Linked DNA regions of Drosophila melanogaster. The protein of the gene in region 2 interacts with the protein of the main gene of each other region in a pairwise test. Each region holds a gene or a part of one and is shown on either strand. Other genes may lie near its edges.

Region 1 (3,755 bases), on a different chromosome or scaffold from region 2:
TATGCGGTGTTCCATCCTGGGCTCGGCGTTGTGCGAGGGATACTCCCTCACTTGGCCTGCGATCACAGAGAAGATGCGCAGCCTTTTGAGCAGCTCATAGTTTATGTCTTTGATCAGCACGTACTCCAGCTGGTCTGGGCGGCTGATCTGCTTGCCAGGCGGAGCAGTTCGCAGTCCGAAATCGTGATAAATCACAGGCACACCATCAGCAGTCAAATGGACATCCAACTCGATCATGTCTGCGTGATGTTCATGGGCGCTCAGGAAAGACGCGATAGTGTTCTCCCTTTCCGCAGGAGCGTCTGCAATGTAACTCTTGCCATTTCCACGATGACCCACATCCAGGTTGGGCCAGCTCTTGGGCCAGTAGTGAGCATAGGTGTTCTTGAAGTCTAGCGGCGAGTAGCGGTAAGGCTGCACCGCGACATAGGGAAGCCTCAGCCTGGCCAGGGTCTCATCTGCATTCTTGGCCGACTTAATCGGCAGGTGGAGCACTCCCTCGCTGCCAGTCAGGTCCGAGGTGACCAGAGTGGCACTGCCCAGGAGTTCGTTGGACATGCTGTAGCACTCCAAGCGGAAGTGCTGCTCCATCATCCTCTCCAGCGGCAGCGTGATGTGAAAGATGACAATGTCCCCCTTGGTGTAGGGCACTCCGAAAGTAGGCTGCAGCTCCAGCTGGCTCTTGCCGTACTCCTGTTTGGAGTACTCCACATGCAGGCCAGCGGTCTTCTCCACGGGCACAATCTTCAGCTGGACGTGCTGGGGGTCAAAGGTCTCGATGTCGTGGACTTGGAACATCTTCTCGCCATTGAACTTGAGCTGCAGAATGGCCTCATGGTTCAGCCAGCCGCGGTGCACCTGCGGCTTTAGATCGGAGTTGTCCGACGTAATACCGAAGACGTCCAACTGGCTGCACTGTAGCTCCGTACAGGGTCCCAGGGACCTGGGCTTGAAATGGGTTTCCCAACGGCGGATCTGCTTGTAGCCAGAGAGATCCTCCACGTAGACAAAGTAGCGGTACTCCAGCTGGCGGCAGGACTGAAGGGCCACCGTGGCCTGCCAGTTGAGCTCGTCCAGCGATTCTAGAGCCACACTTCTGGACAGCTGCCACTCGCCGAGGGCTTTCACATCGCCGGTAAGCCCCAGTCGCTCCTCGGCGGCCAGGGGAACCTCCAGCCGCACATTGAACTCCCGCAGAGTGGGCTTACAGGCGGCGGAGGATCCAGATCCCGACTCTAGCTCGTTTCCGGTTCCATAGGTGATGGAGGCTCCGTCCACGAAGGCGGCACACTGCAAGGACAAGGCAACGGCCAGGATTAGTACAGTCCGAGACATGGCCATCGGGTTAGAGTGGAGATCGCGCGCCGACTGAAAGTCGATCGAGCGGCGGAGTCCGCTATTAAATGCTCGGCAACTTTCCTGCTGAGCCAGCGAGATTAGTCGATGACCCCTTGCGGATTCCGTTTCTGCCTGATAAAGTTTCTCTAAGCGGGGCGTCGACTGTCTGCTGTCTCTGCTCCCTAGCTCCCTAGCCCCCGTGCTCCCAATGCCCCCGCCGGCTCGTCGGAATCGCCGATTTCTCGATTTAGAATCGAAAACAAGTTCGCGCGATAAGCACGCGTCTTTAGTCGCTCCAGAACCGCTCGTGACTTTCAGAGGCGCAAACAAGATCACGTGTTGTACTGGGGCCCGACTAAAGATCATTCCGCCTATTATCAACAGCTTAGCTTAGCTATTTAGCTATTAAAAAAAAAAAACAATAAATATTCGAACCACTTGAGTCGCTCGATTGGACACTGATCTGACGTATAGTCATTTGATTTATACGTGCCTTTTTGCTAAGCCTGCCTTCGTCAAATTTCTATTTGCGTAACTATTTGTCAAAGCGTAGATAACCCCTAATATTTATATAAAAATATATTGACGGAAACCCATAGTTTGAGATCTAGCCCATCTGCCCGGGAAATAAAATTGAATTATGGCTTCATTTAATTATAGCCCAGCTCGTACGTGTGTATTTACAATCTATTCGTCATAAATTTAGTTGTATTCATTGAAACAACTAATTCGTCTATGGCGTTCATCAATTCAGGTTAAAAGTATTGGAAAGTTAATAAACATAGTTCTACAGAAAAATTGCTAAGGCCCTTCAACAAATTGAGAAATATTTAATTAGAAATATATTTTTATACGTCAAGCACAGGAGGCAATAATTTAATTTCCTCCCATTCCACTTGAAAAATGTAAGTAGCAGCACGCGCTACAAATTGTTCGATATCGAGCGGTTTACCTTTGAGCGAATCGCGCGCAAGCCGCACGGAAGCGGTTGCAATTGAGGCGGTTTAAGCAGCGGTTGCTGTTTTTGTCGCTGCTGCGACTTCTGGGCCGGCGACTGCCATGAATGCCACGGCAGAGGATCGGTGATGCAACGACTGCTGAGTGCCCTACACCTGCCGACGATCCCCTGACAACTGGGCGCTAAATTCACTCGCAGCGGGCGCAGTTTACGTAAGTGGAGCGGACCCATAAATTAACCGAAATATTGAATAAATTAGCACGTGCTGTGCCCGCACACAAATTGTTTACCGAGCCGCCTACTTTATAGACCTATTATCGGCGGAGCAAAAGGCGACCAACCACCCACCCACCTAACCGACCGACTGTTCAGATTTGGCTATATGTAGATTTTTGGCATGTATATTCATCCGCCGCCTTGGCAACATTTCGATGGCAAAAGTCGCGTGTTCTGGTGAAATTTTCAAAACTGCGCGATTTGGCACTAGTTATAGTTGTTATTGCTAGCAAGGCAGCATATAGTTTTCCGCATTTTTTATTTTTGACTAATTGCGTCAGAAGGTGCGTTTTGCGAGCGATTTCCTGGCGATTTCACGTTCTTGGCACAATTAGCATAGCCTTGTTAGTTTCTACGGGGGGAGAAACGCCCACAGTAACGCCCCAAACATCGAATAGTTCTCAAAAGAATTTTGATTTCGAGCAATATGTGGTTCAGCTTTTAATTTCTCAACTCTATGTTAATTTTCTTATGATATTCGAGCTTTGCTCCGATTTCTCAAACACCTTTTCACGTGTTCCTAACGCAGGCGCTCTGCTACTCGCTCTATATCTCTCTGAATACTCTGCCATATGTTTTTTGTTTTGGGAAATTTCAGACTCAAAAAGCTTTTCATGTTTGGGCCGTTTCTACTTCCACTCACTTCTTGGCGTGCGTTTTATTTATAGTGAAGGCGAAAAGCTGGCCCATGTGTTTCGTGGCTTGTATTTCAGCTGAACTCGTTATCAGTCAGCTAGGTATCAGAGCTCATATATCAGCCATATACTATGTGTAGTTTATGGCAGCCTCTTCAGAAATTAATAAGCCAACATCTAATCAGACATGGGCCACTTGAGCGGGGACCCTCTCGAAAGCTTAACCTTATAGCATGCTTGGTGCTTGAGTGGTTGAGTCACGTGAGGCAGCGACCTTTTGCAACATGTGGCATTCAGTTTGAAGAGAAACTCAAAAGAGTGGGATATATTATACCGGGATCCCAGGGGTGGTACTGTACGTGAATTACTGGATTACTTCGACGGAAATGACATCAATAGGATACCATTCTCGCAAGGCGGGAAAACATACATAGGCATTTTTTATTTACACCAATCCCCAACTTAGGTGTGCTTGAAACACTTTGTTATTAACCAAGTTGGCAATTATTTCCCCGCCCATATGATAGCCCTGATAGATATATATACAT
Region 2 (3,628 bases):
AAGTATATGATGACCTTGGAGGGATTTCTATGCGAGCTAGCACGCAGGGAGGCGCGTCTAAATGGCGACAGGGGTCGGGCTAGTGAATCCGAAAACCTGCCACATCCACAGATGTTGGAGGAGTACACAGTAGCGTTCTGTGCTGTTGGTAAGGCTTGGCTATAATGGTGAATCCTCTGCCATTGGTAATCAAACCGTAATCTCCAGGTGAGGATGGCCGGGAGCTGCTAGAGGCGGCTCTTTCTGCCCGTCGATGTGCCTATGCGCCCTACAGCAAATTCAAAGTGGGAGCAGCCTTCCGTGCGAAGTGCGGCAGGATCTACGCGGGCTGCAACATCGAGAACGTAGCTTTCACTCCAGGCAATTGTGCGGAGCGTTGTGCCCTGGCCAAGGGTATCAGCGAGGGCGAGAAGAAGTATACGGCGGGTGCTGTGGTAGCCTATCACCCAGATGGGTTTACCACACCTTGCGGAGTCTGCCGGCAGTTCATTTTGGAGTTCATCCAAAATGATATTCCTATCTACATTGCCAAGGCTCCGCCGCCGGAGCAAGAGAACTGCATTCCTTCAATTCCGGACGAAGCTGAAGTGCTGGTCACGTCCGCCTACCATCTGCTTCCCCACAGCTTTAACTCATTTGAATGAAATTTTCATCTAAATAATATCCAGAATTTATTTAATGCAATAAAATTATTCGTTCTAATGTCAATAAGTATTGCAAATAATTTAAGTTAGCGATCTGATTAACTTGACAAAAAGTCAAAACAATGTGTAGAGAACTAAACGTATTTGATAACTGGTTCTCCCGATCCGTAGATGCCGTATTCGCTTTTCTCCGCAAACGGAGTGACTTCCTCGTGCACGAGTATGGGCTTAACTTCTGGATCGAATTCAACCCTTCGAAATTGTGGATCCGTGAAATTAGCGCGCACCTCGGTGACCATTCCCGAATGCGGCACTCGTTTGGTGAGGTTTTGAAACTCACAGCGTCGCTTTGGGCAATTATGCGTATTACCCTCGTCACACATTGTAGGATCCTCTTCGCGGGACACTTTCTGGATGGGCGGCATCTTCTCCGTCCAATTCCAGTATGTAATATTGTCGTGGGCAGCTACTCCGCCACACAAGTCCTCGGGACCCCAGCGCACATACGACAGATTGTATGTGGTGGAGGAGGGATCAAGGTACTTGCTAAAGGACGCCTCCGAACGGTCGATGACTAGCTTGGTGGCTACCACCGGAGTGGGCATTGTTACAGGCAATATTTCCTGTTCCTCCGGCAGCTCCTTAAGTACATACGACTCATGACTGACACTAGAAATGGGCTTCATCTTTCGCTTTACAAAGCGAAGGGAACCCTCCTCAAATGGTTTCATATACTGTGTTTTCATGTTGAGCGAGGGATTTCTAAGTGCGTTGGGATCGTTATACTGGAACATCATGGTCACGTTTTAGTTTGGTGCAACATATCTCAGCATATCAATCAACTCACCTGCCACACATAGTTGGCCATGCACTCAGAAGTCGGCTTCTCGGACAGCAGCGGATCTTTTACATAAATACCCTTATCCGTAAACTTGGCGTTCAGCTTGTTACCCATTCTCAAGTCTGTAATGTGGCGATGCCCTCGATAGTACGAGGTCCTCCAATCGGGATCTGTAGCGCTGGCAGGGCGCTTGTAATCGAAGACGCCGAACTCATCCATGGCTTATGGACTTTGAAAATCTATCTAACACTGACAACAAACACAATTTTCAGCGACAATGGAAATGTGCACCCCTTGAGACGCTTAATTTGGAAACCCTTGATGTTGCCCAGTTACCGAATAGACTCCAAACAATGCTAGTATACTGACTGCTCACAAACAGCCAGCCTTCTGTACAATATTTCTCGTTTATATTCTGCTTCAAATGCAAGTGTTTACAATATATGTAGTTGTAGTTTATGCTGTAGAGAGGAATGCTTGTTTGACAAATATAAAAGCGCTCTGTTCACAAAACAAATGAATATTCGTTAATATAATACGTGGGCTAAGATAATAATGTTGCACTCGATTTGGCCTGTGCAATAATAAACTGTTTGCTTAGCAATTAAACAATTGATTTACTTCGTCTCCCGGATGTGTGTAATCGATGAGGCTTGCGTTTCAATGGGGTGTGTAAACAATGTGCGGGTGACTCATCCTTCTATTCCTTGTCTACTTCCGGCTCCCCGTCTCAGGCAATCTCTTTGAGCGCTAGCAGTGATTGGCGCAGATATTCATACTGCGTCTTGGCATGCTTGATCTCCAGCTCTGAGAGCTCGACGAGGCTGTGTTTAGAAAAGCGATAATAAAATGCAGAGCATAGCAAAATGTTTAGCAGCTGCTGACTCACCTCTTCTTGAAAGCAGCTACCCGTCGGTTGCGGAAACCGATCAACTCCTCCTTTCCACATGCAGACATAGATTCGAATTTTTCACAGGCCTCCGCCTGGGCAGTCTCGGCCTAATTGGAGGATAAACAAAAACGATTATATACAGGGAACACAACAAGTGGGCCACAGCAAGGGCATGCTAAAGTGAATACAACAGATTGAGCAACGGTGGAGCGCATGCAGCATTTACGTGGGGTGGCGACACATCTACTAAACCGACGGTTAAAACGTTAAATGCCAAATACCTCTTGCACCTCCAACGGCTGCAGAAACAGAACCACAAACACGCACAAAAAGTGAAGAGGGAGGGACAGGCAGATCAGAGAGTTGTGAGGTTGTGTACGGTAGCAATAAAATACAAGAACGCAAATAATTTGTTATTTGTAATTAGTGAAGCGTGAGAATTAATTGACCCGCTGGAAACTTTTTGTAGGGAAAACAATTGCTCTTTAAACGATCTGAAACATAGTTCTGGAAGAACTAGTTGTGATCATCCCTCAATCTTACCGCATGAACATCCTTGTTTTTGGAGCGAGCCTTCTCCAGGTTTCGATTGGCCGCTTCATAAGCAGCCAAACACCGCAGTCGCCGGATAAGTAGAGCTTTGGCAGCGTCGCTATCCCGCTGATAGTAGCGCAGAGTGTCGCCCAGCTTGAGATCTTGATCGCTAGCCACTCGGGTTTCCAGATTCTTTAAAATATCAAGAGGAAAATTTATAAAATATAATTATAGCGAAAACGCAGCGTAGCGCACCTTGATCCTTTCAAATATCTCCGCTGTCTTGGCCACAAACGTCTCCACATTTCCCTTTTCCGTAGTCGAGAGCTGCGTCAACGCATTCGAAATCTTCTGATGCGAGTCGCCTACATCCTTGTGGCGTTGCGTCATTTTCTCCGTCCTGAGTGCTGCCTCGCGCAAGTGGCCGTGGTACTCGGTAAGGAACTGCAGCTCGTTCTCAAAGAAGTCATTTACATCCCGAACCGTGGCGCTCAACAAGATCTCGTCTGTGGTCTTGCCCAGGGACTTGACAAAGCCGCCAAAGATGGCCATCTTCTTGCGTGGCTTAGCGCACAGATCTTGGTCGTATTCCAGGAAAACCTTCAAGTGCTGATCGACGCGAAAGACGGGATGACTAGCAAGGCGGCGCAGGAAAACCTCGTGCATGGCCACCGTCTTCTTGAAGGTAGCTAGGTACTCACTGGCAAGTAAAGATGT

What was found.
Region 1: the proteins of CG8292 (region 2) and CG18135 interact in a two-hybrid assay, tested with the Drosophila melanogaster proteins (one large-scale study listed by BioGRID).

The regions. Positions count from the first base shown.
Region 1 is NT_037436.4:18,991,436-18,995,190, forward strand, and holds the start of CG18135 (uncharacterized protein), read right to left. Parts: upstream 1,733-3,755; 5' UTR 1,705-1,732; coding exon 1-1,704.
Region 2 is NT_033779.5:8,216,196-8,219,823, forward strand, and holds CG8292 (uncharacterized protein), read right to left. Parts: upstream 1,823-3,628; 5' UTR 1,705-1,822; coding exon 1,492-1,704; intron 1,430-1,491; coding exon 779-1,429; 3' UTR 656-778; downstream 1-655. Other genes in the region: CG8349 (uncharacterized protein), read left to right, coding at 1-148, 208-644; Snx6 (sorting nexin 6), read right to left, coding at 2,216-2,309, 2,375-2,484, 2,659-2,676, 2,921-3,103, 3,167-3,611.